Linked DNA regions of Notamacropus eugenii. The protein of the gene in region 1 interacts with the protein of each later gene in a biochemical or structural test. Links are inferred from orthologs where the notes say so. Each region holds a gene or a part of one and is shown on either strand. Other genes may lie near its edges.

Region 1 (7,161 bases):
GAACATGCATTTATACAGCACCTTAAGGTTTACAGAGTACTTTGTAACACTCTGAAGATACAGTTCAAGCAAAAGAAGAGGAACCTTTCATTTTTTAATATAATGGAGTTGTTAGGTTTCTTAAGAGGAGTTCATCTAATTTAAGAGGAGTCCAACTAATGGGAAATAACATATTCCTGTCCATGTCATCCCGATGTAATTCCTGGAAGAGGTGAAGTTTCACATCTAAGTTTTACCTTATAAGCTAATAATACTTTTATGATATACATATAAACAAATAATACTATTATACTAATAATGCGCTCGTTGAGTTCACCTGTGTGACCTTGGGAAAGTCTTTAGGTCTCAGTTTCTTCTTCTGTACAATGATAGTTCCTTCTAGTTCTCATATTTAACAACTACATCTTTTTAGTAGAGAGAACATTGGGAGAGAAGACAGAGGGCTTGGATTCAAGTACTCACTCTTTGTGACAACGCGCAAGCAATTTCCCCTCTCTGGTCCTCAGTTTCCCTGTGGTGGGAGCATTAACTCATGGGAAAATCCTAAATTCTGCTCTCATACAAGTTGGGATAGTTTTAGATACTGAAATTGTCCTTGAGATTTGTTTGGCTAAGACAGCTTAAAGGCTTATTAGGCTTTTAAACATCATTTCCTGGTCAGTAGAGTCCAAAACAGCCGAGAGGACCAGGATTCCCTGTTGCTTGGCTGGCAGAGCATGATGGTCAGCTCATACAAGGTCAGCTCAGGGATTCCTCAAGCCACATCCTTGTTGAATATTCTTCTGCTATGGCTAAGTAAATCTCCTTTTGTTAACTCTTGAATGACCAAAGGGTAGGACATAATGTAAGAAAAATGTCGTTATCTGCAATCAGAACTGGAAGGAACCTTAGAATAAATGAGAAACAATGTTTTTAACTAGAAGGAAGGGTCTTTAGGGATTATCCAGTCAAACTTCTTCATTTTGACTATAAATGTATAACATATATTTAAATATTAAGTTAAATATAAAACATATAAACATTAAGAGGGTGTGGCATGATGGCTAGAGAGCCCAGGAAGACTTGGCTTTGGTCCTGCTTTGGACACATACTGACTGGGAGACTCTAGGCAAGTTGCTTCACCTAGACCTGCACTGGGAGACAGAATTTCCTAGGAGTTCCTTATACCAATGAAACCACAGGTTCTATCTAAAATAAAAATTGAAAAAAAGAACCCTCATACTCATACATAGCACTTGCGTAGCATCATCTCATAACAAAGAGGACAATTATTTTTAGCCTCAATTTACAGATGAAGAAATTGAAATTGTGAGAAGGGGAGTAACTTACACATGATCATATAGCTGCTATGTAGGTGACTTGAGCATTTATATAAAAACAACCAAATAGCTCTCATTTATATGTTGCTTTGTGGTTTGCAAAGCCCTGTACCAATATTCATTTTATCCTCACAGTCACCCTGGGTGGTAGGTCCAGGTCTAGTACTCTTCGTCATTACACCAGGTTACCTTTGAATACATGAGCAGATCTTGTGGTTGGTCCTTCATTGGACCAATGACATCACAAACTGTGACGGGTGATGGCTTGACTTGCTGACTCCAGAACCGATGCTACTTTTCTCCTCTGTTCTACAGAGTCTCCATTTTTTGGTCTTAGAAATATTTTGCTCCAGTGATTACTAGGGGATGAAATACTTTGTAACTATTAATTCTCCAAAGAAGTTCTGTGGCATCAGATTAAAAATAAAACTAATAATCTACCAATTCATGTGACAGTAGACTTGGCTGAAGTACAAAGAGGGACAAACTTGGAGTTAGAGAGACCTGAGTTTGATTCCCAAGTTAGATTAAGGAGCTATCAAGTAAAGGTCAAGTTACTTAACCATTCTCAGCTGTAAAATAGGTATAATAGCTCTTTCCTCACAGAGTTGTCTTGAAGGTCATATACTAATATACACAAACAGTATCACAAGCTTTAAATTCCTATGTACATATTAGCTTATCACTATTATTCAAAGTTCAAAGAGTATTGAAAGGAAAGGAAGGAAATAAGTACTTCCATAGTGCCTACTCTATGTCAGGTGGGCAGCTAGGTGGCACAGTGGATAGAGTGCCAGGCTTGGAGTCAGGAGGACCTGAGTTCAAATATAGCACTAGACACTTAAAAACTGTGTGGCCTTGGACAAGTCACTTAATACTGTTTGCCACAGTTTCCTCATCTGTAAAATCAGTGGGAGAAGGAAATGTCAAACCAATCCAGTATGTTTGCCAAGAAAATCTTCAGTGGGGTCACAGAGAGTTGGACAGGACCAACAGACAACAATATGTGCCAGATGCCACGCTAAGCACTTATTTTAACGAATATTATTCCATGACAAATAATTATCTCATCACAATCCTAGGAGGTATGTACTGTTAATATCTACATTTTACAGTTGAGGAAACTGAGGCAGATAAAGGTAGATAGAGGCCAGGAGGTCACCTCTGCTTTACAAAGGAAGAAGCTCAGGTTTAGGTGACTTGCCTAGGATCACACAGTAAATGTCTGAACTCAGATCTCCCTGACTCCAGACTCAGGGCTCTATCCTTTTCATCAAAGAGCTTACGAAATAGAAAATTTAAGAAATCTCATGTCTTAACATAACTAACAGGTTAACCTAATATTTCTATAACTCCCACATAAAAACGTACTTAGCAAGTGTTTGTGGGAGTATTAAGATCATTTTTCAAGCAGGCATTTTTGGCATTTGAGTTCTAACATCACGATTGCTATTTTTTGATCTTAGAAATCCTTTGTTCTGGTGTTATTTCCACTTTAATAGAATGTCAAAGCTGGGAGAGCCTTTAAGGACAGAGAATGTCAGGGCTGGGAGGGGACTTAGAACAAGGGGTGCCAGAGCTGGGAGGGGCCTGAGAACAGGGGATGTCAGGGCTGGGAGGGGCCTCGGAACAAGGGGTGTCAGAGCTGGGAGGGGCCTTGGAACAGGGGATGTCAGGGCTGGGAGGGGCCTTGGAACAGGGGGTGTCAGGGCTGGGAGGGGTCTTGGAACAGGGGATGTCAGGGCTGGGAGGGGCCTTGGAACAAGGGGTGTCAGAGCTGGGAGGGGCCTGAGAACAGGGGATGTCAGGGCTGGGAGGGGCCTTGGAACAAGGGGTGTCAGGGCTGGGAGGGGCCTTAGAACAGGGGGTGTCAGGGCTGGGAGGGGCCTTGGAACAAGGGGTGTCAGGGCTGGGAGGGGCCTCGGAACAGGGGGTGTCAGGGCTGGGGGGTTCTTAGAACAGGGGGTGTCAGCTAGATATATACAACTCCTTAAGGTTTGCCAATAACTTTACCAATATGACTTCATTTTATCTCATAACGTGTTTGGGAAGCAGGTTCAATTCCGTTCAGTAAGCGCGCATTAAGCACCTACTACGCGGTGCGCAGCAGGGATACAATGAAGCAACCTGCAGCGCCTGGCCTCCAGGACTTACAGTCTAGGGGAGGAAACCCCCAGATCCGAACAGCACCGGCCCCGCAGGGCAGGAGGGGGAGCACGTGGCGGAGGGGAGGCTCACGAGGGGCTTCCTGGAGGAGCTGGGAGAGTCCGGAGGCAGGGGGCTGGTAGGCACGGGGGCAGCCCGAGCCGAGAGGTGCCCCCGGGGCCAGGTTGGGCAGTGAGGGGCGACGCCTGCACAGACAGGCTGGGCTGGGCTAGGAAGGCCCATGCTGGAGGGCTCCTGCAGGTAAGAGGGAGCCGCGGGAATTGACTGAGTAGGCGCCTGTGCTTTGTCTCCCATTTTACAGATGAGGAAACTGAGGCACAGGTTAAATGTCTGGCTCGCCCAGGGTCTGACGCTGGATCTGAGCTTCCAGACCCACTCTCGCGCCCACCTGCCGTGTGCCAGGCACAGAAGGGGGTGGACGGGAAGCTGGGCCGGCACAGCGTGTACCCTGGGAGCCTCCCGCGGGCCCAGTGCCTGGCACGTGGAGGGCGCTGGCTCGGAGCTCGCGGATCCTCCTGACACCAGAGCGCCCCCTCGCGGCCGTTTGCTTCGGGGCGGCCCAGGCTGGCGGGCGGAACCCCCGGCGCGGGGCGCAGTTGCCTGCGCAGGGGGAAGCCGGAAGTGCGCGGCGCGCGCGGCCGGCGGGAGGCTTTTGGGGCCGACCGGCGGCCTGGCGGGAGGTTGGCGTCGCAGGCCGATGGCGTCACTGTCGCGGTGCCGGGCGGCGAGGGGCGGGGGCGGAGGCGCGGGGGAGCGGAGCGGAGCGGAGGCGCTTGGGGGGCGGGGGGGGCGGCTCGTCTCTAGTCTCCGGGATCCCGAGGCCTGGATGGCGGCCGGAGCGCCGCGGGCTCCGCGCTAACCCTCGGCCCGGCCCGGCCCGGCCCCTGAGGAAGCGGATCCGAGGAGGAGCCCGGGAGCGGGAGGAACATGACATCCCGGAGGTGAGCGCCGCGACCCCCGCGACCCCCGCCCGCCCACAAAGCACCGCGCGCCCCTCCCCCTCCCCGGCCGCGAGACCCCCTCCCCCACCGGGCGGGCTGGGGGAGGGGCAGTGGAGTCTGTTCTCTCCCCTCCCCCAGCCGCCTCTTCTGGCTCTTACCCTTCTGCCCCTCCCCCGCCCCTCCCCCTCCCTCCACCCTCCCCGTTCCCTTTTTATCCCTTCTCCCTTTCCCCTTTCCCCCCTTTCTTTCCCACACCCCTTTCCCCTGTCTTTTCATCTTTCTCCTTCTCCTCTTTCTCCCCTCCCCCTCCCTCTGTTCCCCCTTTCCCTTATCTTTTCATCTCCACCTCCTCTTCTCCCCTTTTCCTTTCTTTTTCCCCTTCCTCTTTTCCTCCCTTTCTTTATCCCCTCTTCCTCTCCTCTTCCCTTCCCCTTTCCCTTTCGATTCTTTTTTCTTCTCCCCTTTTGCTCTCACTCTTCTTCCCCTTTTCTTTTCACCTTTCTCCCTCTCCCTCTTTCTCTCTTTTCTGTTCCTTCCCCCTCCTCCCTCTCTATTATTCCCCTCCACTCTTTCTTTCCTCTTCATTCTTCCCTCTCGTCTTCACTTTCTTCTCCCCCCTCCCCCTTGTGCTTTATTGTGAGGGTCAAATGAGAAAATATTTGTAAAGAGCTTTTCACCTAGTAGACTTTTAATAAATGCTTATTCCCTTCCCCTCTTCTTTTCCCTTTTCTCTCTTTTTTCTCCTTCCGTCTCTTCTCTTTCCCCTCTTTCTTTCCCTTCTCTCTTTCCTTCCTCTCTTTATTTGTCCCTCCTTTCTCCCCTCTTTTTCCTCTCTCCTGGTGAGCAAAAACTGTCTTTTTGTCTTTCTTTGCATCTCCAGCATTTAGCACAGTTTGTTATCTCTCTTCTGTTTCCTTTTTCATTTTCCTTCCTTCCCCCTCTTACCCTCCTTCAGGAATCTGCTGCTCTTGCTAGGTGTGGGGATCTCCTGATTCCCTTCTGTCTCCCCAGGAATGTCCCCGTTTTCGTTTCCCCTTCCCAGCTGTGTGTCTTTCACTTTCCTCTATATATTTAGTTTTTGGTATTGGAAAAATAATAAACACCTTTTCATGAGGTTTAAAGCACTTCTCATAATAACCTTGTGAGATACCAGCCTTATTATTACCATTTAATGGAGGAAGAAACTGAGGCTCCCAGAAAGGAAGGAACTTGCTCATGGAAATATGGAAATACTGCTACTAAGTGTCAGAATTGGATCTTCTCCTCAGGTCTCTTCGTGGAAACACTGATCAGTACTCCTTTCCACTCTACCTTCTTTTCCTCTTGTTTTCATCCAAGGGGGACCAGGGTAGAGACTCTGCTCCCAGCTGCTCTTCTCTTTTGTGATCTCTTCATTCATTCCACTCTGCTCTAAGTAATGACTCTTTTAGTGCCTCCAAGCTGGAAGGCAGGGATTGTTTATAAGCAGAAGATACAAAGCTGAAGTAGGTCATGGTTGTGCACTACATTCCTTACTCATTGCTTCATGAAAATTGCCTAATAATTATTCAGAAATCACAGCCACCCTCCTTTGGGGGAGAGGTTCTTGGTGCTTGTGTATGTAATAATGCTCCTAGTTAGCCACTCTGAGGCAGTGCCTCTCTGGACTGGCATTGGTTAGGCAGACCCGAAGTAAGCCTCGAGGTAGTTTTAGGTCCTTTCCTCAGGTTATTCATGTCCAATTCTTGGCAACTGTCAAGCTCTTTCCTCTTCTGGACAGAATCAGTAGCATTAGTGAGAATTGGTGTCAAGGTGCGTTGGGTTTCTTAGATGAAAAGATGTAGGCTGAAGAATGAATTATTACTTTCTAACTATTATTAAGCTTGTACAGTCTGTACAGGGCACTTCGTTGCCCTCAGTCAGACCTATCATTACTACCAGATGTTACTAATCCTTTATGGGTTGTACTGGCTATAGACCCATCTTTTTTTTTGGTTGATGACTGCTCAGTTTTGTTCAGTCCCAAAACATCACCACTCTTTTGTGATGTTTAAATAATAGCATTGGGACAGGGTATGATCCAAATGGGAAGCTTCTTAAGAAATTAGGAATATTTCCCTAATACTCTTTCTCTCAGTCTTTGTGTCTTTCATTCTGCATCTTTGTCTTTCTATTTGTTTCCGTGATTGTTTGGGGTAGGGAAAAACCAAACCTGGAAACTTTAGGAAGCGAATGACCTGGGCAGGTGTGATGCCAAGCTCTGTCAGATCTGGGTGCATTTCAGCAAGACGCTGTGTGGCTGTGGCCTAAAGTGTCCTCTCTCGGAGCCTTTGTCTGTGTGTTACTTCATCTATCAAAGTAACCATTGAGCCTTTGTTCAAGGTCTGCTATTCTGAACTAGGAAGGAGTTGCCTTTCTAGGACATGAAAAGCATGGGGGGAAAGGGGGGAGGGGGATGTACAGGAAAGGGTCTCCTTAGTAAGAGTTGTGTTGCCTGATGATTTTGGAAACTGCAAAGTCTTAGCCAGGTGAAGCTGCCCAAATGGTCTAACTGAATTTTAAATGACGGATAGCCTGCTTTTCCTCCAGTTCGCTTCTGCTGTTGAGAAGAAAACTGTCTAGTTAACAGCAGCACAGGAATAGTAACTGTGATAGTAATCACTGTCAGACAGCCTAGAATGCTGGACTTGGAGTCAGGAAGACCCGAGTTCAAATTCTCTCACACTAGCTGTGTGACCCTGGGCCAGTCACAGTGC
Region 2 (7,406 bases), about 17 Mb from region 1:
CTTTTCTACCACAAAACTGCTGCTATGAATATTTTGTTAGATATAGTGCTTTTCTGTCTTCCATCTTCTTGGGGGCTATGTGGACATTTATATTATTTTGTTTTAAATGAAACATTTTTAATTTTGAATTTAACAAACACCAAAAAGACAGAACATTCCCACATACAATTTAAAATAAAAAAGAGAAGATTTTCTATGGGACATTATGGATCTCTACACACACCTTGATTTTAATTTGAATAAATTCAATGTATAACTTTCAGAGCTATCCTGCTTGCCTGTTTCCTTCTGAACTTCCCTTCTGTTCTCTTTTGTACATTTAAAAATACTTCAATTATCTTTTTTGTTTCTTTTATTATTTTTTTTTGTAATGGTATCTCCAGGTCTTTCTCCCCAATTCTTTTCCCAAATAAAGATAAAATCATCAAAATAAGTAAGCAGTCACATAAAATAAATCCATATATGCTGTGTTGTTTTATTTTAAATTTTAAAATCTTATTTAAAAATTTTAGGGTTTGTTTTTATATCAAATTCACGTCTGGATGTATCCCTCTCCCCTCCTCTACCAAGTGATGCTGATACTTCTCTATGATAAGAAAAACTTAAAAAGAAACCAACCAGAAACAAAGCAGTTCAGTAAAACTAATCAAGAGTGTATTCAATATTCTGAACCTTGACAGTGAAGGGAGAGAGGTACATTTTCTCAATCCTTCTCTAGGGTTGTTTGGTCACAGTTACATATCATTCAATTTCTTTTTTTCTCCTATTTATGTTGTAGTCATTGTGTATATTAATTTCTGGTTCTGCTTAATTCACTTTGAATCCATTGCTATGTCTTGTGATGCTTCTTGGAATTGTTCATGTTTGTTGTTACTTGTGGTGCTTCTCATTCCATTTGTCTCACAATTTGTGTAGTCATTCACAATAAGTGGGCATTTACTTTGTTACCAGCTCTTTGCTGCCTAAGAAAGGGGGACTATGAATGTTTTGGTGTATGTGGGATCTTTCTCTCCTTGTCCTCCTTGGGTTTTGGGGTTATAGTTCAGGTCCAAAGGTACTTTTCCTACTGGCCCCTGGCAAGTGGCATCCTCAAAACCCTGCTGTTTTATTTTCCCTTAGGATTCTAGGTTTAGCCCTCAGGGCATCGAGTAAGGTAGAAAGAGAAGTTATCTTTCTACAGCTACAGTTTAAGAGCCCTTAACTGGTGGGCTTCCCCCATGATTATCAGTCGCTATTAACTAATCAGCAAGACGTAATCAGCTTTTACAAGTGAGTATTTATTATGGTGGTATAGCTGGAACAAAGTAATCTCTTAAAAGTCATCCTTACACTTTTCTTATAAGTATATACAGAATCCAGAAAGTGGGTTTGAGTTTAGAGAACACAGGTGGCCAAGGGGAGCTCTCAGAAATCCTTTGGCAGGAGTCCTTAGGACCTTGCCTTAGATAGGTATGGTGTCCCTTTCCTGTTTGAAAAAACACTGAGTTTTGCCTTTCCTCATCAAGTCCAGTCTATATCCTTGTTTCCTGATGCAGACACTGCTTCTCTGAGCTGTTGTTCCCTGGGACACTAAAGTTCAAATCCTCTGGTCTTCCAAAGTTCACAGAAATCTTCTGGTTAAAGAGGGTGGAGTGGGGAAGAGACTGATGCTGGTTCCAATCCTCCCCCTCCCCCTAGAAATTCTCTTTCAGGGGCTTGAGTGGAAAGGCAATTAGAACGGAATCCAGGAGTTGAATGTGCTTGCTGGTTTTATAGAAGCCCTACTGGGTGCAGAATGAGACCAAGTCTCTAAACCAGACTTAAGGTACAACTTTTCTTTGGTTCATCCAGTAGCTTTCAAGGCTGTTGAGACAGGTGGATGTGGTAATGGTAGTGTTGGATAAGCAGGAGGGAACACCTGAATTCAAATCTCACTTCAGATACTTACTAGCTGTGTGATCCTGGGCAAGTCATTTAACCTTTGTCTGCTTCAGTTACCTCACGTGTAAACTGGTAATAGTCATAACCTCCATCACAGGTTTATTGTGAGGATAAAAATCAGAAAATACTTTTTTAAAAAAGGTTTTACAAACCTTAAGGCATTTTATAAATGCTAGCTACTTTTATCATTATTATTATTTCAAAGATATCTAAATTGATCAATTAGGACTTAGTCCAAGCCTGCGATTAATTGATTGGGTGGACTTGCTCATATTTAGTATGGTTCTCGCTTGGTTAAGGTTTCTGAGTGTAGCATCTCTCCACTTGGCGTGTACTTGTCTAGGTTGATTCCTACACTTATAACCTTCCTCTTTTGAATATTTGCTATCATCAGCAAATCTGCTGGACTATATTTGATCAAGTCTATAGTTCCAAATCCCAGAGAGCCTTTTAGTGACTTGAGGAGGTTTTGCATTACCCTTTATGAAAGCTTTCCCCAGCGTCTGGTTCTAAAGAGACTAGAGTGAAGTCTATGGGAAACAGGCATTTATTTTCAGGGAGACAATCCAGCAGCAGTTCTTTGTCAGTGTTCTGGGCTCTGCTATTGACATACCATGAGACCTTGGGCCAGGGTCTTCCCCTTCCGTGCTCAGTTTTTTCCTCTGTCCAAAGAAGGGTAGACTACTCGGACTTTGGGGGCCTTTCTTCTTCTGAATGCCTGGCACTGTGATTCTAGACAGAGATGCACTACTTTGCTCAGGACTGACAAGCAGGGATGATTCAGTTGACAGGAAAGGTGTTCGGGAAAATCTTGCTGTTCTTAGGGAGCCCAAGACTATTCATGTAGATTCTGGCTGAATCAAACAATCTCTTCTTCCTGCTCATTCCTTGGGAACTGAGACTTTGCCCTCTGCCCCTACTTATGTCCTTCAAAGTGACCTGAACCTATGACTCTGTGATCCCACCTTATGGCTCTAAAACTTTCACAGCCATTATATGACAAATATATTTTCCTGTCCTTGGATAATGCTGTTGGTATACATTACTTCTTAAGCTGAGGACAATGAACTCATGTTCTCCCTTCCTAACAGAACTCCCTTCCTGGAGAGCTGCTAAAACAAGCGACAGAATCAATGAGTTATTTTGCCTCACATGTATTAAGTACCTTTGTTTTCAGAGCCTGGTGTTACGCACTGAAGGAGATACAAACTGGGTAAGATACCATGTGCTTCCTCATGAAGCTTATGGTTTAGATAGCTATAACAAATATTACATATGGATTACAAAGGTTTGAGACAAATATTTATGTGAGGAGAAGATATTACCAACTAGGTAATGGGGAAATGAAGGAAGACTTCCTGGAGGAGATGTCTTTATGAGTTGGACTTTGAAGGATAGGTAGGAATTCAGCAGCAGAAGGGCAAGAAGGACGAAGGGGTCATTCCCTCTGAACTCTTATAGGTCTTGTTCTGAGATTCAGTCATAGAACACAGAACATAGAATGTGAGAATTGGATGTGATCTGAGAACACAGATTGTCAAACCTGTGAGGGACCTTAGATCATAGAATGTCAAGAAGTGTGTATGTGTGTGTGTGTTGGAATACAGAATGTCACAGTTGGGAGGGACCTTAGAACATAGAATGTCAAGAACTGGGAGGATTGTTGGAACGCATAACTGGAAAGGATCTTAAAATATCGGCTGAGCTAGAAGAAAACTTAGAACATAGACTAAAGAAATGTCCTTGGGAAACCCAGAATGTCCGAGAGGGAATGAACCTTAGAACATAGAATGTCGAGCTGGAAGGAACTCTAGAACACAGAACATCAAAGCTGGCAGGGTCCTTAGAACACAGATCTTGAGGGGCCCTTAGGTTATCGGATGTCATGAACCTTTTTCCTTTCACCCCACCTTCTCCGCACCACCTCCGGGGGCTTCCTTCTCTCCCCCTCCTCTCCTGCTCCCCCCCTCTCCTCCTCTCTCTTCTCCTCTCCCCCACCCCCGCCTTTGGCTCCGCCCCACCCCGCCCCTTTCATCTCCCTCTTCCCCTCCCGCCCCCGCGCCTCTGGGGCCCCCAGCGCCCTCCCTTCCAGCCTTCTCCTGTTCCGCGCCGTCTTTTCCAGCGTCCCGGCCAGGGCCAGCCCAGCCCAGCTGACGGGGCCGCTGTGTTTACTGGCCAGACTCGAGCGGGGAGCGAGGAGCAAGGAGCGGGGAACGCTGGTGCCTGCGGGGAAGGGGCCGCCGACGAGAAGGAGGGGACAGGGCCAGAGCAGGGGCCTGGGGGGGCCCAGCACGCGGCCGAGGCCCGCTCTCCAGGGGGCAGTGCCCAATCCGCAGGCGCGCCGTCCAGCCCCGGGCAGCGGGGGGGTTACGGGCCTGGGCCGGGGCCGCGATCTCCGGGGAGGGGGCGGGCACGCGGGCGGGGCGCGGGGCTGCTGCTGGACGCGGCCCAGCCAGCGCGGAGGAGGGGGAGGAGGCGGAGGGGAGGAGTGAGGTGGCCCCGGCCCACGCCCCTCCCGGGCCCCTCTCGTGCCCCCGGGCGGGCAGCCCCCCACCCACATTTCCTGCGCGGGGCGTTTAAAGGACCGTGGGTACGGCCCGCCTGGGCCCGCGCTGCCCTTCCCTGCCGTGCTCTGCCCCGCTCTGCCCTGCCCGCCCGGGCCGGGATGGAGCCCGCCGCCCCCTGCTCCCGCCTGCCCCGGGCTCTCTGACCCACCGCTCGCCCCCCGATCTGCCGCCGCCCCCCGACTGTCAGTCGGTCTGTGTCCCCAGGGCCATGGGGGCCGTGCGGCCGCTGACTGTCGGGCTGCTCCCGCTGCTGCTGCAGCTGCTGCTGATCACTTCGTGTGGCTTGATCTCCGGAGAAGGTGAGTATCTTCTACTACTAGGGTCTCTATCCCTGAGCCCTGGGTCCGAGGGGCCCCTCAGAGCAGCCCTACACGCTGGGGCTGCCACGGCCCGGTCGAAGGGAGCTGACCTTGGCCCCTGACCTCCCAGAGTTCAGTCACAGGTCTCTCCGGGGGGCCCCAGTATGAGGATCTGTCCCAGCCCTAGGATTCAGGCAGGTCCAACGTCTCCCAGGTTCTGTAGCTCAGCTTGGGCCACCTTGGCTTCCTTCCTTTCTGTCCTCTGTGAGCCCCCACTGGGGGTCCCCTCAACTCTGACCCCCTGATTCTCCCTATCCCCGACCCTTCCTGGGTGTTCTGGAGCAAGATCTAATCATGGCCTCCTTCCACATCTCGGTACCGTCACCTCCGACATCACCACCGCTTTGACCTGGTAGAGATGGTGGGGTACTAATCAGTGATCGCTGAAGAATACTTTCCCCCCTTCTCAATCTCAGGAATGTCTGCCCCAGGAGTAGGTCCTGAGGCTCTTCAGGAAGGTCTGGCATTACATTTAAAAGCCAGGATTTTGCCTTTCTCCTCTGGGAATCTCTGAGCCAATGGTCCTGAGAAAAGCAGCCTGATGAGCCCTTCCCACCTCCCCACCCCCCAGCCCCATCCCTGTGTGTTCTTTTCAGGGTTTTGTCTGTGGTTGTTCCCAACTCCAAACTGCTGTGGGAGGGGCGGAGGCCCAGCCTGGGTCAGTTATAGGGGAGGAGATGGTTTGGAATGAAGTGAGGGGGTTGGCCAGGAGGATCTCTTAAGGTCCCAGTCTGGCTCTGATATTGTAGGAGCCACATGGAACCACAGACTTGCAGAACCAAAGGACTTTAGAGATCCTTTTATTGTTCAGAAAGAGAAACTGAGACTCAGAGAGCCAGAGACCTGCCAAGGGTGACACACAGAGCTCCTTCAGAGAGTAGCTGTCTGACTTGCACTCCAGCCTTCCTTCACTGTCTGCTGAGACCTGCTAATTCTTAACCCTAACAAAGGAACTTTAGCTTTGTTCCTTCTCTTGTTTAAAGTTTCTTGCCCTGGCTGATGATCAGGGTCTTCCCTTGTAACATTCCATCCCCTGGTTTTCTGATAGATGTAGAACAGTGCCTCAGGAAAGGGCTTCCAGCAGATGTCTGGGCAGGAACTCAGGAGAGATGGAAAGGCTTGGTTAGGACAGTACTTTGGCTCTTGGGCCTGTTTGCTCTATCTTGGGGTGGGCGGTGGGGCATCTGACTCTCAGGGCCTTTACAGGTGCTTTCACATCCTTAGTTCCTGGCTTGGAGAGTTTGGGGCTTCTCAATGAAGTTGTTAACCCAGGGGAGCAGCAAGCAGCAAGAAAGACAGTGAATGAGGAGCAACTGCTCCCCAAGATTCACAGGGGCCCTCTGAGGAATTTCTAAGGCCCTCCTGACTGAGCTGGGATTTATTACCCTTTCATTATTTTTATTATTATTGAGAATCATCAGAGCTCAGATTATCTGAATGTGGACGGGGAGAGATCTGTTGTCTCTTTTTCAGGCACCATTGATAGCACATTCTTATCCTTAAATCTGGCAGAAATAATGTAAGGGGGAAGAGGACCTTCTGGGTTTCAGAACAATGAGGGATGTCATTTTTCTTCACCATTCCACCTTGCACATGTTCTGGGGCTTGGAAATTGTCAAGGATCAAGACACCATCCTTTGTTTCACAGAGCTTCGAGTCAGAAGCCTTAGGTTCAGATTTCATCTCTGATGCTTACTACTTGCAAGTCTCAACCTCCATGGGCCTCATTTTCCCCATCTGTAAAATGAAGGGGTTGGATTAAATGGCCTCTGGGATCTCTTTCAGCTCTAGAGCTAAGAGAAATTTAGTGCGTTGATAAATCAAAGAGAAGCCCCAAACATGGGAGAAGGTAATTATCTCTATCTTTGGGTCTTTCCATGGACTGACCCTGCAGTGTCTGGAATTTGTTCCCTCCTCACCTCTGCCTCATAGAATCCTTAGCTTATTGTTTTCAAAGTACAGCTCAGATGACACCTTCTACATATGACCTTTCCTAATTCTGCATTGTGTTCCTCCCCCTCTCCATTGTTAGTGCTCACTGTCTCTTAAAATGACTTCTGTGTTGTTTGTTTATACTTTGTATTTATTTATCTGTGCACATGTTGTCTCCTTCCAGGAGAACATGAGTTCCTTGAGATGAGCATGACCGGTTTCTGCCTTTGTTATCCCCAGCGTCTAGCTCACTATGTGGCATTTCTTTAGCATTCATTCATTGCTTATTGAATTGACTCCAACTAGATCTGGGTGGAAATGCTATTTCCTAAATGAGAGGCATAGGCCGCAAGTGTCCTAGGAGCTCAAGTGAGGGAGGGACAGGAAGAGGGAGAGAGGAAGAGAGAGACAGAGGGACAGACAGAGACAGAGAAACAGAGAGAGAGAGAGAGAGAGAGAGAGAGAGAGAGAGAGACAGAGACAGAGAGAGATAGAGACAGAGAGATAGAGACAGAGAGACACAGAGAGAGAGGGAGAAAGACAGAGACAGACAGACAGAGACAGAGAGCTCAAGATCGAGCTATGGCAATCTGAGAGAGCTTTGGAGAAGAGAAGAGCTTGGAGCTGG
Region 3 (6,944 bases), on another chromosome or scaffold:
ACGGACTTGACTTTCTTACCTACTCTCTTGGGCCCATCTGTCTGGGAGGGAGTTTCCTATCAAAACAAGTCCTGGGGCAAAAATAAACAAATAAAAAAGAATTTGAAAGAAAGGAAGTGAGAAAGAAAGAAAGAGAAAGGAAGGAACAAATTAATGAATGAATGCCCATGACTTCTATATCAGTCAGGCTAGATACAGAACCAGTATCCTGTCTTCACCCTGCCCCCAAGACTGCTAATACTACAAAGAGACAGAGAAAGAGACAGAGAGATAGAAGGAAAGAGACAGAGAGACAGACACACATGCACACACACACACACACACACACACACACACACACACACACACAGAGCACCCATAAAAGAATTTCCTCTACCTTGAAAAGTTATAAACAATTAATCTTCAGCTCTGAGTCTCCAGTCAGGGAAATGCTCTGGCAGTACACCACAGCTGTAAATTGCCATCCCAAGTGCTCCCTTACGGCCCCTTTCCAATATGTTTGTGCATAGCCACACATGTTTTATCTATACAAACGATTACTTCTGTGTTGCTCTATCTCTATCTCTGTCTCTCTTTCTCTGATTTTCAACTTTTTCTTTTCATCTTCTTCATTGATGTCTGCATGTATGTCATCACACCTTCCCCTATCCTTAACATGCATATTAGGGCTGGTCCTAGGAATCCCACCCTCTTTGTATTTATGATCTTTATATTATTATATTGAAAAGACAACACAAACAGAAATGCAACCTGCGCTTCGATGGACATGCCTAGTTCTAACACGGAGACACCCGTCTTGAACATGCTTTTTTGAGCATGCCAGATTTACCTAATATGGAGTCAGCTATGACCCCTACCACATGGATGGGGAGAGTCTACTTTGATTGGCTGCCTACGTCTTTAAAACTGGCAAGATTAAAACTTGTTCTTTTTGACTACTCTCTTCTCCACCAAGTTTTCTGACGTGCCCAGCTTGGATGCCATGAAGTGAACCAGTGAAAGGGGAAGAAATGTACTTCCCTTCCTCCCTCGCTTTTACTCTCACTTCTGAGAAATAGGTCTAGGGGGTGTTTGTTACTGTCCTGTGCTGTTTGCCATCTTCAGTTACAGGTGCTAGAAGTGATGTCAATGGGTCTGGGAGTTTGAGCCATGGTTCAGCCTGGGAGCTAGGATTGCAGGTGGGGTGGTGCAACCAGTCAGAATGGCATGAAAGTCCTGAGAAATCAGGATGCCTTCAACTAGAGCCCATGAGGGGGTTTTGAACTTGGAACCGGAACTGTGTACTATGGGAACCAGGCTAAACTATGAACCTAATCCTCTTTCCCTCTCCAGAGACAGAGAGGGCGTCCTGTCTCCACTTATTGGGAGTGTGCTTGTGCTTACATTTTTTGAAGTAAATATTTCTAATTTCCAGTCTGACTGTTTGTGACTGATAGAAATGGGGTACAGGAGCATAGTCCTCTATACTTGGGGGAGGAAGACAATTACTGGGGGCTGGAGCCAATGGCAGAGAACTGTAAAGTTAAGGGAATTTGAAGATCTTCCCTGCCCGTTAGTAGGCTCATGTGACCTGCTTTGAGCTTTGGCCCAGCCCACAGCTTGAGTCACATAGAGTCAATTGTGGGAGGAGCTTGCCAAATGAGTGGAGCTGAGAGAGAGTGAGGCAGAGCTGAAGCAGAGCAGCTAGCATGAGTGAGAAAGAGTGGAATTTTGCCTAGGGGAACTTGTTTGTGGGGTGGCCTAAGAGAGGGAAGGCTTGGGGATACCTGTATTCCCTTCATTGGTAATGTGTACAAACTTTGTTGTTACCATGGTGGAATTGGCTTTCTGGTGTTGGAATAAATATTTTTTCATCTTTGAGGAAGAGAGTTTATATTTTGAGAATTTACCCTGGAAATACACATACATACCCATAGCAGCTGCTGTGGGTATCGCATTGATGCTACAAGAACCTAGACCCCCCAAATCACTTTAATGATACTGGAGAACCCAAAGGGCAGAGTGAAATGTAACATACCTGACTTTCAGGCAGTGAGGACCAACATAGTCTGTGTTACAGAAAGGTAAACAAACTCTTAAGAACCGAAGGTAAGTTTCAGAAAATAAGGCTCTGAAGAGAGACAGAGGGGAAGAGAAGAAAGGAGAAAAATAGAAAAATCACTTTCCTATGGGTCTATAGTCTGGGGAGTGGGTTTTGGTGGCATCTTTCCCAGTATGCCTGGTGCCCAGCTCTGATTCTAGAGTCTGGCACCAAATCTTACAGTTAAACATCTTCCTCTTTCCCAGGACACAATCTTCAGCTCAGTTACTGAACCCCCCCCCCTCAATATCCCAACACACACACACGCACATGCACACGCACATACACACGCACATGCACATGCACACACCCACTTCTGTGTTAATGCATTCTCCAGTGGCCCACCATCCTGTTGTCTGGGAGAATAAATCTATGAGTCACATCAGACTCCTTCGGTTAGTCCCTAAGTTAGGGCAAATCCCTGGGTGATTGAGGAAGGAAACACTAGTGTGATTTCTGCCAGAATCAACAGGCAGCCAATCTCCACTGTCCTGATCTCCTTGACACAACACCAAGATGGTACTATGTATATATTACATTTGTACACCCCACCTCCCACAAAAAAAAAGCTCAAACAAACCACTATGTAGCACAAAAACATATCCCACCCTTTCTGTACATATTCTGCACTTCAATCAAATTGCAGGGAGAGTGACAAGCAGACAGACACAGAAACACAGTAAAAAACTAACAAAAAGACACCATGCATGCATACATGGACAAACTGAGATAATAAGATATACACAAAAACCAATGGATGTAGGAACATCAAGCTGAATAAGCTGAGAAAGGCAAACACAGAAAGCTGTAGAAAAAGGGAAATGGACCGGGAGACTTAGATTTTGCAGTGTTTATGTTCCCTTGACTGTGGACATCAGAATAAGTTACCCTTACTGTGTGCTGATAAGTTCCGTAACACTTTAAAACAGTCCTCACTGTACCAGGAAGCATCTTTTCTGTTTTTATTTTCAAACTTCAAAGTTTACTTTTGAAATAAGAGATTATATTCCAATAGAATTCTAAAGGTTTTTTTTTTCTCTTTGAGAATGTAAAGGAATGACATATGTTTTAGAAATTTACTTTGGTTCCACAGCATGTCTGTTTACTACCAAATGCCTTGGTCCTGAAAATTACCTCGTAAAACCAGCATTTCTTGAATTCTTCTGGGACTTTAATCTTTAGAAAATTGAAGACAAATCCTTTTTTGTTTCTTTTGGTTGAATGGGGAGCTGGAATATAGAATGGGAGGGAAAACCAATTTGTCTATAACACCATTCGGAAACAAATGAGTTAAAGTCATAAGGCTTTGAATTTGAGTTCTATCCCTGGCACTCCTGGGCACCTTCCTTAGCCTCAGTCGCATCCTCTGTAAAATGGTGATAACAGTGAATCTTTCAGGATTGTAAAGTACTTTTTAACCACGTGGAGCTACACAAATATGATATTATGATTAATTAGCAAACTCTCATGATTCTGGCAAAGCAAAGCTTTTTTTTTTCCCCCTACCATGGGCTTAGCAGTAAAATCTAGATTCACGACTATTTTAAAATGAGAATAGTTAAAGGGAAGAAATATCTTTCGTCTTGAATATCTTTCTTGAGTCAAGGGAGAAGTCTCCCTAGGTGGAAGGTAGAAATTGGAGGGTCCCTTCATTAAAAGATGAGGGAGTTCCCACTCTTCCCCATTCTGGGGGAGCCAGAAGGAAGATTGACAGGTGTGCCAAGACAAATGTCATTTCTGCTGCTTGTTTTCAAATATACTTTAAGAAACTAAACAAAGAAAATTAGTTCAGCAGCCTCTCAGGAAAAGGCCAGTCATTTCCTGAGTAGCTATCAAACCCGGCCAGAAGCTCATTGTTTTCAGTTTCCAGTAATGGCAGCTATTACCTGACCAGTGAGTGCCACTGGCCATTCGCTATTCACAAAGAGGAAAATCCTTCCAAGAGTGAATCTTAACTTTTCACACTAAGGCTTGCTTATCTATTACCCCTTTTGAAGACAACCTTTCCTACCAGCCCCTTGGTCGGACTTAACCTTCAGCGAATGAGCATTCCTGGGTTCTAGACTGAGCAACTATTACTCCAAGACAAGATGTATCTGGTTCTTCTGGGGATGCTTTGGTTCTGTAAGTTTTTATTTTCATTTTATACCTTAAATTTTATAGGACTTGAAGCTTCTGAGATAATGACACTTGATCTTTTTTTATTTTTTAGGTCCAAGACTGAAAGGTCAAGAGAACTGTAAGTTGTAGATTTTTCTACCTCTTTCCCCCCTTTCTGTCTTGCCTAGGATCTTGTCTAGGATTACAGATTTAGAACCAAAGAGAGTTTGGAGATCTAACCCTCTCATCTTACAGATGAGGGAAGGAGGTCAGACAACTTTCTTTCTTCTACATTATGTTGTCTACTTTGGGACTTTATAAATTACAATTAAACTGGTTTGATTACATTTTTAATGAAAAGATAAAAGACTAGAAGCTCCTCTTTTGGAAGATAATAAAGACATATAAAAATATGATCCTATTAGCACATATGTAAAAAAAGTTTTTGCTTAGTCCAAAACACTTGCATTTAACAATAATGTTTGAAATGTCATGAAAGTTCCAAGTGGGCAGCTGTTTGATTTTTGGAAAAAGTGAGCCACTTCATAATCTTTTTTTCTCTTTCTATGGCCAATCTCATTCCCATTCAGCACACAAAGGGTTGTTTTATTTTTTTAGACCCCAGCAGAGTTTAAGTGATTAGTCTTGGCTGTGATTTTTCCTTCTTCACAGAATATTGATTTGGGTTTATGTTTGATCCCAACACCAAACAATTCAGAATCTTGTGATAAGAGAGAATAAATATGTGTGTGTGTGTGTGTGTGTATCTTTGAAGATTTATTGACAAAGTGAAAATTATATATTTGGAAATTTGGTTTGGGATATAAAATATATGTGGAATAAGGGATTTGTTTTTAACCTTTTGAAAGAGTTTGGCATATTTAAGTAGGTCTGGGAACAAGGAAGAACTTTATATAGGGTAGAGTTCAGTTGCTGAACGGGGAGGAAGTAAAACTGAAACTCTGGAAAAATGGGTAGAAATGTGTGGCTGTTAAATTGGCCTTTAAGTTCAGATTATTTGAGAGTCTTCCGAGGAGGCAGTGTGGAATAGTAGAGATAGCAGTGGAGTTAGAGTTGGGAAGAACTGGTGAGTTCAAATTGGTGAGTTCAAATCCTATCTTAGACAATTATCAGTTATGTGACTGTAGGCGAATCAGTTCATTTCTCTGTGCCTCAGTTTCCTCATCTGTAAAATGAAGGGATTGAGTTTCATGACCTTTTACATCTTTTCTAGTTCTAGTTCTGTCTTTCTCTCTCTGTATGTATATATAAAACAACAAAGGGTTGTTTTTTCTAGATACCAGCAGAATTTAAGTGAGTAGTCATTGCTGCGATTTTTTCTTCCTCACAGATAATTGATTGGATTTATGTTTGATCCTAACACCAAACAATTCAGAATCTTGTGATTAGAGAGAATAAGGTGTGTGTGTGTGTGTGTGCGCATGTATATATAATATATTTTATATATATTATATGTGTATATGTATACATATACGTATATATACATATATACATATATATGTTTCTTCAGGGTGAGCATTTAGTACTTTCCAAAGTACTTTCACCAAAATTTGATTTTTATGATAACGTTGCAAAGCAAGTCAAGTAAGCATTATTATCTCTATTTGCCAGATGAGGATACTAAGCCCCAGAGAACAGAAGTGTGTTTTTCAAGGTTATGTAGTGAATTAGTGGTGGCATGGGGATTACAACACAGATCTTCTGTTTTACAATCCACTTTCTTTATCCATGAAATGGGAACTAACCTAATGGGAGCTAACCTAATCACTTCTCAGGGACCTGTCCCCCAGGTCTAGAAGCTCTCTTTCTTCATCTTAGAATCTCTGGTTTCCTTCAAGTCTGGTCTGCACAAGGCCTTTCCTTGTCCTCCCAGCTGCTTTTCCCACCAAGGTTACCTTGAATCTGTGTTTTATATATGTTTATACACACCCATCTCTCTCCTCTTTCCTTCAAAATAGAAGCTCCTCAGAGGCAGGGATTGTTTCAATCTTATCCTTGCTTCCTCAGTCCTTAGCACAATATCTGACACACAGCAGATGCTCAATAAATGCTTGTTAATCGATGAGGGCAGAAAGTCTTTTGGAAAATTGAAATTCTTTCATTTTGCATGATCTTGGTAAGTTTGGCAAAAATTCCCAGGCTCTTGGTTCTGTGTCTGTTTTTCATTGAAGTAGCAATGTACATTTAGAGCAACTAGGTGGTGCAGTGGATAGAGAGCCAGGCCTGGAGACAGGAAGACCTGAGTTCAAATCTGGCCCCAGACACTTGCTGTATGACCCTGGGCAAGTCATTTAACCCTCTTTGCCCTCAATTTCCTTATCTGTAAAATGACTTGGAAAAGAAACTGGCAAACTACTCCAGTCTCTCTGCCAGGAACCCTCCCTCCCCCCAAAAAAGAGTTACAAAGTCAGACATGACTGAAGTGAGTAAGTGATAACTATAGTAATGTACATTTAGGCTAACTACTTTTCTCTAGACCTCAGTTTCCTCCTTGGTAAAATGAGGTGACTGGGTGATCTCTAAAGCTTCTTCCAGAGTTGATATTCTATAATGATTGCAGTCCACAATCAGCAAGACATTTGTTCTTAGTTGGAAATGGGAGAGAATTCCTCTTTCCCCCGGTAATGAGGAGAGGAAGAGAGCCACTTGACTGGACCCCACTCATTTCATCTCAGTGACTTATATGAGTCAGTGAGATGACTGATAAAGTAGGGGCCACACACGATCTGTGGTCAAGCAGCTG
Region 4 (7,864 bases), on another chromosome or scaffold:
TGACTCTTGAATCAGAGGATTTGTGTTCATATCCTGTCTTTGCTATTAATTAACTGTATAATCCCAGGCAGGTCACCTAAACTCCCTTGGGCCATATTTTCCTCATCTGTAAAATTAAGGGGTATCTGTGTGGTGTGTGTGAAGTAGATGGTGTTTGAGGTTCCTGCCAACGTTAGGGCCTATGATTTGCACAAAATCAGCAAGTAGCAAAGTCAGGATTCACACAGGGTCTTTTACCTCTAAATCCTGGGATCTTTCTAGAAAACCATTTGGTATGGGAACTGTAAGCCCTGACACAGAGTGCAACCAAAAGGGAGAATAATAGGGAGTAATGGTTTGGTTGCTGGGGTGGGGGTGAGTGGGAAGGAGAAGTAGGACAAAAGTCACCCATGAAAGCCACAGTGAAGGCAAATAGAGCCATAATTACAAGTTCCATCTAACCCCTTTCTGCTCATGCTCCCAAGGTGATATTCTAAGTACAAGATGGGGGAGGCATGGTTAGGAAGCAGTTTGTCTGAAAAGAGCTGGTGGTTTTGGTGACTTGCATTAAGAGAGACTTGGGGCAGCTAGGTGGTATACTGGATAGAGCACTGGGTCTGAAGTCAAGAAGCCTTGAGCTCAGCAAGGGACTCGGACACTTACTAGGTGTGTGACCCTGGGCAAGTCACTTCACCCTATTTTCCTCATCTTCATCTGTAAAAGGAATTGGAGAAGCAAATGGCGAACCACTCCGTATCTTTGCCCAGAAAACCCCAAATGGGGTCATGGAGAGTCAGACATGACTGAAATGACTGAAGAACAACAGATTAAGGGAGGTTTAATAGAAATAAAGTAGTAAGTCACACCACTCTGCCCTGGTCAGATGATATCTGCAGTATTGTGATCAGTTATGAGTATCACATTTTAGGAAGGACATTGATAAGTTGTAGGACATTCAGAAGAGGACAACCTGAATGACAAAGGACCTCAAAACCATGTTAAATGAGGACTGGGAAAAGGAATTTGTAAGTTTAACCTATAAAAGAGCGAGGGGGAATTCAGTCATTTCAGTCATGTCTGACCCTTCATGACCCCATTTGGAGTTTTCTTGGCAAAGATACTGAAGTGATTTACCATTTCCTTCTCCAGCTCATTTTACAGATGAGGAAACTGAGGCAAACAGGGTTGAGTGACTTACCCAGAGTCATATACCTAGTATAGCAACTGTTTTCAACTACGTAAGAGCTGATGTGAAAGAGAGTTGAGACTTATTCTGTTTCACTCAAGGTGCCAAATTAGAAGCAGTGTGTCACAGAGCAGCCAATTTAGACTGGAAAAAGCTGCCAACAATTCCCAGCTATCCTAAAGAGGAACAGTCTGCCTTGGGAGGTAGTGGGTTCCCCATCATTGGAGGTCTTCTAGCAAAAGCTGGAAGACAGACCACTTGACAGACACATGTTGTAGAAAGGATTCTTTCTTTTGTGGGTTATGATCATAAATCCCAGTGGCAGCAGAGGAATTCAATTCAAAGGGCAGACTCAAATTCCTGAGGACTTCTCTATTTAGCTGGGTGGGGACTAAAATCACCAAGGAACCCCCTGAGGTTCTGAGCCCTAAGAACTGGTAGACAATATCCCCCCTCCCTAAGACCTCCCTACTAGGGAGGAGGCTTTACAGCAACTGAAGCCCAGTGAGCAGCAGCAGAGTCCAATAGCATCATGGAGAGATAGCAACAGAGAGGACCCTAGCTCAGTAGAGACAGTGCTTGCTCATAGTGTGACATCACCTAAGGAAACAAGAAGCAACATTGGAGGCAGAAAATGGCATTAATAGGGTCTCTGCCCAAACAGCATGAGTACCTCTCACTATAATGCTCCCTAGCCCCATGAGTTCCCATGGATGACTGAGGAGGCTCCATACATGTGCTGTCATACATGTTGCCCAGGTATGAATATTCTTTTGGGGGGGAGTCTTTTTAAAAAATTGAGTATTTTAAAAATTATTTATTGAGTATTTTCTTTTCCCCTAATTAAAACAATTTTTAACAATGAATGTTCTTCTTTCCCACCACTGGTGTGAAAACTTGTGAGAGACTGTGTTTGCATATCTATGGTAGGAAAGATTTTTTTTCTTGTCACTTACTTTGCTATGCTATTGAATTGTCTTTTGCTTTGAAGATATACATCAGTAGGATTGCTTAGCCTTAAGTATACTTTAAGCTCAGGGGAGTTTTCATGGTTCCCACTGGAAGGATCTCCCTTTCCAAGTCTTTTCATCCCTGTGTGGTTCTTATCTACGTTTTTATCTTATAACCATACCTTCTTCCCTGGCCACCACACCCTCCTATAAAATGTTCCAGGATCAAGACCCTTCCTTTCATACTACAAATGGAGGGGGGGAGACAAGGCAAGAGAAGAAAGGGAGACAGAGAAAGAGGAAGGGAGAGAGTGAGGGGGGGGGGGGAGAAGGGAAGGAGAAAGGAAGAGAGGGAGGAAGGGAGACAGAAAGCATGTGCATGTGGCATGGGGGTTGAATTAAGTGATTTCTAAAGTCCCTTCTGATTCTAAAGTAGCAACAGTCTAGGTGTGAGATGATAAGGGCTTGAACTAAAGCAGGAATGGGGGACCTGTGGCCACAATTCCCCCACCCCTGAAGTGAAAAGGGGATTCAAGAGACATTATGAAGGCTTAATAGCACTTGGTCGCTGATTTATTTATTCTGAATTTAAACACCAGGTAAAATGGGCATCTGTGTATATGTGTGTATGTACATACACATACATATGTGTATATATATGTGTGTGTATATAAATACATGTATAAAAGAGGATTGTACATGAAACTGTAGACCTGTTATGTACAGCTTACTTTTCTTTTAAATCTATACGCATATTATATATAAAATATAAGTATAATAAAATTAATATATAACTTTCAAAGATGTTCTATTTGTGATTCAGATTTTTTCTTCTATGCATTTAAAAAAAAAGATACTTCAATGACCCTCTTTTCTTTCTATTTTTTTTCCTTTTTTATTTTTTGACTATATTATCCTTTTGACTATATAATCCCTTCTCTCCCTTCCCCCAAACAGGAAAACAAAGCCCTTGTAACAAATACGCATTAATGATTTAATTTTAAAATTTCTCAAGTGCCTATAGTGAGCAAGGCTCAGTGCCAGGACTTAAGACCTTGGATATATAGGCTGAAGGATGTGGAGGAGATAAAGGTCTCCCTGAAACTATAAGGCTGGCCAGGATGAGGGGGTTAATATTGTTGACAGAATCCAAGTTTTCTGGCACTATCTGTGTAGTCTTGGTAAAATCCTTTGACTTCTCTGGGCCTCAGTATCCTCATTTGTAAAATGAAAGGGTTGGACTAGATGAGGGGTTCTTAACCCTTTTTTGTGTGTCATGGATCCCTTTTGCAGTCTGGTGAAACCTATGGGGCCCTTCTCAGAATATTTTTAAAGCTATATAAAAAAAATAGGATCACAGAATAAATCACATTGTATTAAACAATAAAATCAATACCATAATGATATATTATTATTTAATAAATAATAAGATTTAATAAAATAAAAATAATAAACAATAAAATGCTTATCAGTGTAGATTAATATTAACAATTTCATATAAACTAGCATTAATGACAGTCACTGTAAATTAATGATAATGTTAATAATGATCCATATAGATTAATATTGATTACATTAATCAACAATGATCAACAATCAATGTAAATAATTATTAATATAAATTACTATTAATGACTACCAATGTAAATTAATATCAAGAATTGCTAACTTTAAGGATGATCAATATAAAGTAATATTTAAAATGATTATATAAATCAACATTACTGATGAATATAAATCAATGTAAGCAATTTATAGCATAAATTATTTACTAATGGCCATCAATGTGTATTAATATAAACAACTGCTCATACTAATAAATATGCATATATTAATATTAATAAGGGTTGGTAGAAATTAACATTAATGACCACCTATGCAAATTGATATAACTGCGATTAATAATGACCAACATACATTAATTAATATACATAAATCACCATTGTGTATTATATAAATTTATTATGTTTATTATATAAATCACCATTAATGATTATTAATAGAAATCAATGTAAATAATTAACAAAAATGCCTATTAATGACCACTGGTGTAAACTGATACACAAATAAACATTAATAATTATTAATATGGATCAAAGTAAACAATATAAGTCACAACTAATGGTCATCCGGGTACTTTAATACCAATAATTGTTCATCTGAAAAATATCGATTTATTATCAGTGGATTTAATAAGCCAAACTTGATGACTCATTGTAAATCAGTAACAACTGTCAATACAAATAAGTATGGATAATCAATGGAACTTGATTTAGGGGTATTATTAAATTGTATCAAAAATTTTTCCAAGTCCCGGTCTGCCGGTTAAGGACCCCTGGACTCTGTGATCTCCCTGCAAGGCTCCTTCCAGCTCTAACTGCGGATGCGAAGCCCCAGGTGCGGGCAGGTCCCCGCTGGTACAGCAGTCTCGAGGTCCAGGCCGCAGCGAAGCCGGGACACTCCACGCACGCCTCCCCAGGGCCTGGGCCGGGGATCCCGAGAGACGCCCAACAGGCCGCTCCAGGGTGCCCCCACCTAACCCCCGCGGGCTCGGCTCTGGCCCCGCCCCTTCCCTGACGTCAGGTGCCGGTCCTTCCCAACCGAGGTCCCGCCCCCATGGGGTCCCGCCCATTTTTCCAAATCCCCGCCCACTCTTCCCCAAGAAGTTCCGGTGCCAGACTCCTTCCCTACTCCCCACCCCCTCAACCGGAAGCACTTCAGCTGAGCTTTGGGCCAGAGTGAGGCCTTGTAGCCGCCGCCGCCGCTGCGGCTCCATCGCGGGGGGTACAGCCGCCTCCTCTAGCCGGGGAAGGAGCCCGAGGGCTCGGCGTCCCCTGAGCCGCGCCCCGCTGTCCCGGCGCTCATGGAGCAAAGTAAGTGGCAGGGCCAGGGCGGGGGGTTGGGGGGAAGCGACGCCGTGCCCAGGTTGGGGGATGCAGGGGCCCTGCCTCCCCAGCTCTCCGGCGGCGGCGGCCTCGTCTTGGGGTCTCCCCCAGGCTGGACCCCGCAGGAAAGCTCGGGGCAGAGAGCTCCCACCGGGGGAGCTCCGACCTGGGCCCGGGGGGGCGGGGCGCCTGGGCTGAAGCGGGGATCCCGGGGCTACGTCTCGTGGGAGTTTGGCTTCCCCCTAGGCAAATCAGCAGTTATTCCAAGCAGGCACCAGGCTTTGTTTGTTTTTTCCTCTTCGTTGTATCCTTAGCTCTTAGCCCCGTGCCTCGTACTTAGTAGGCGCTTAATAAATGCCGGTGGCCCGCTGGGGACGGTGCTAAACTTGGGGGATACAAAGAAAGGCAAAAAACAGGCCCCGCCCCCGGGGATCTCCCCGTCTAATTGGGCAGACAACCTGCAAACAACTGTGTACAAACGAGATACGGGCAGTGTAGAGTCGGAGTAGTTTCGGGGGACAAGCAGAACCCCCTTTTTCTCCTTGATCACCGCCACCTTGCTCAGTCTCCTTTCCCATTCGTAATCCCCGAATGGAAGGTGGATGTGGCTGCTTCCCTGATCCCCCATCTTTGAGGCGATGTGTAGCCCGAGGGGACCGGGAAACTTCTGCAAATCAAGAAGTTTTGTGTTTTGGGGTTCGGATCCCTCGAAGGCCTTAAAGGAGATGTTGCGCTTCCAGCTGTCCTGGACTGTCTTCAGAGTTTGGTTCGGGTTGCGTTAAATTTAAACAGCTCCTTTCAGGAGTTTTACTCACTACACTTAAAAAACAGATTTCTTTTTCTTGCGAAAATGAGTAGTTTAGGTAGGCGCCTGCACTTTGTTGTCGAGTTTCTCCTCTAATCTCTGAATTCCTGTGGCTGCCCAAGAATATTCAGTGATCAGCAGAACACTGATCAATGCAAAAACATTCCTCTCGCCTATGTGGAATGAGGTCTAACTGCATTGTCAGATTTTTGTCAGTATAGTGGGTTGGTGTGTATTCCTTAACCGCACTGCTTTGTTTGAAGTGGGGAGGGAGGGAGCCCATGGGGTGAGGTGTTCCTGGAAAGTGAAAGTGATGTTTTAAAAAAATAATGAAGCATTAAGAAGAATCATCTGAGGTGGAAAAAAGAGAAACAAAAAAGTGTTGAGCTTAATCTGTGGTTGATACACTTACTGAAATTTAGGTCAACATTATAGAGAACTTAGAAGTTATGTGTTCGCCTTTATCTTTGTATGCTTTCTATTTGGGCCTGTTATATATGGACTTGTGTGACTTTTCATAAAACTGTTATAAGGTGTGCAAAAACAGAGGTTAACACGAATTGAATAGATGTGATCATATTTTTCATGGTAAATTTCATTTTGAGGTGATGCTCTGCTTTTGAAACTTTATATAAGTGCATTTACTAGAAACTTCTCTGACAGGCAGATTATAGGTGGAAACTGCTTTTGGTATAATTTTAGAGAGCCAGTAAGTTTTGTATTGATTTTTTTTTTCATTTTGGAAGCAAGACACTAGTTTTCAGTGCCTTGGAGATCGTATTGCACTGCAGATCTTAAATATCATGTTTGCATTTAATCTTTAAAGCTTAGCAAATACATTATAGTCTATTTTCTCACTAATTTCAATATATTTCAAAGAATACTGTGAAAAGTCAACAGCTTAAAGACAGATGACATTTTAAAAAACCAACCATTTGCAGTAAATGTGTATATAGTGTTAAAGAAGGAAAATGCAAAGCCCAGTTGAGTTAATGGAAGAAAAGTTAAAAAATCACAAGTTATATAAAAAGATGGAAGTCACAACAGCATTGAGTTCTTGTTTATGAAGTGGAGAAAGAAACTAAATTTATTTCTGTTATGAATCTGGAACAGAAGATTACTGTTGATGTCTTTAAGGAAGGAACATAAGTTGTATGTAGTTTTTGGGGAGGTTTTTTGTGGGCTTTTTGTGTGTGTGTGTGTGTGTGTGAAGACTGAAGTTTCTGAGCTATACAAGAGGATAGAGGATAAGGTTAGAAGGCAGGTTAGATTTGGATATAGTGATCAATATATGATTGCTAACTTGCTTTCAAAGGAATATCCCAGGGAGTGTTATGGAAGAAGAAAGTATAGAGGAAATCAAATAAGGTATGTGTGTCTTGGAACATGTTTTAAAAGCATTGTATTTATTGTATTTAACGTGGTAGGTAGCTGTCATTCTTTTTCATTAAACAAATATTTATTGAACAGAGAGTATGGTAGACTGCATGGTTGTAGATGAGACAGAAGCTCACCATCCATTAAGGGAGATAAGACAAATATATATTCTGTAAGACTATGTGATATTTTATAGGAGTGGTACAGACTTAAATACTTACTATGGGAGTACGGAAGAGAAGGGGAATCAGTATGATATAGTGCACTTGGAGTCAGAAAACCTTATATAAAATTCAAGACCCGTTTCTGCTATTGATTAGGTGCCACTTTAGACTGACTTCAATTCTGGGCCTTGTTCTCTTTGTAAAATGAAGGGGGGAGTAAATAATTCAATACACGAGCCCTCTTTTGGTTCTAATCTGTGATTTCTACCCAAGATGACCAGGGAAGGCTTTATAGAGACATGCTAATTGTCCATTGAAGGCTGTGAAAGATTTGACAAATAAAAACAGTTGATGAAAGATCATTATAGAAAGAGGGAATGGCATGAGTGAATGGGAACCACAAATCATCAAAGTTCTCCAGACTACAGAACTCATTTTTGGAAGTAGTAGAAATTTTTATTATTGTTGTTATTATGTAAAAGGAGCTCATTTGTACAGTGCTATAATGTTTGCAAAGC

The links.
Region 2: the proteins of PTPN11 (region 1) and INSR form a complex in vitro, tested with the Homo sapiens proteins (2 studies listed by BioGRID). The link is inferred for Notamacropus eugenii from reciprocal best matches to the Homo sapiens genes PTPN11 and INSR.
Region 3: the proteins of PTPN11 (region 1) and PECAM1 form a complex in vitro, tested with the Homo sapiens proteins (4 studies listed by BioGRID, with this or other methods). The link is inferred for Notamacropus eugenii from reciprocal best matches to the Homo sapiens genes PTPN11 and PECAM1.
Region 4: the proteins of PTPN11 (region 1) and FRS2 interact in a test that uses a peptide from one of them, tested with the Homo sapiens proteins (2 studies listed by BioGRID, with this or other methods). The link is inferred for Notamacropus eugenii from reciprocal best matches to the Homo sapiens genes PTPN11 and FRS2.

The regions. Positions count from the first base shown.
Region 1 is NC_092875.1:33,754,213-33,761,373, reverse strand, and holds the start of PTPN11 (tyrosine-protein phosphatase non-receptor type 11), read left to right. Parts: upstream 1-4,139; 5' UTR 4,140-4,412; coding exon 4,413-4,426; intron 4,427-7,161. UniProt on the Homo sapiens protein: Acts downstream of various receptor and cytoplasmic protein tyrosine kinases to participate in the signal transduction from the cell surface to the nucleus. Positively regulates MAPK signal transduction pathway. Dephosphorylates GAB1, ARHGAP35 and EGFR.
Region 2 is NC_092875.1:51,121,497-51,128,902, reverse strand, and holds the start of INSR (insulin receptor), read left to right. Parts: upstream 1-4,402; 5' UTR 4,403-4,695; coding exon 4,696-4,786; intron 4,787-7,406. UniProt on the Homo sapiens protein: Receptor tyrosine kinase which mediates the pleiotropic actions of insulin.
Region 3 is NC_092873.1:327,459,809-327,466,752, reverse strand, and holds the start of PECAM1 (platelet endothelial cell adhesion molecule), read left to right. Parts: upstream 1-3,925; 5' UTR 3,926-4,170; coding exon 4,171-4,204; intron 4,205-4,292; coding exon 4,293-4,319; intron 4,320-5,191; exon of another isoform or gene 5,192-5,281; intron 5,282-6,944. UniProt on the Homo sapiens protein: Cell adhesion molecule which is required for leukocyte transendothelial migration (TEM) under most inflammatory conditions.
Region 4 is NC_092874.1:246,983,750-246,991,613, forward strand, and holds the start of FRS2 (fibroblast growth factor receptor substrate 2), read left to right. Parts: upstream 1-4,852; 5' UTR 4,853-4,988; intron 4,989-7,864. UniProt on the Homo sapiens protein: Adapter protein that links activated FGR and NGF receptors to downstream signaling pathways.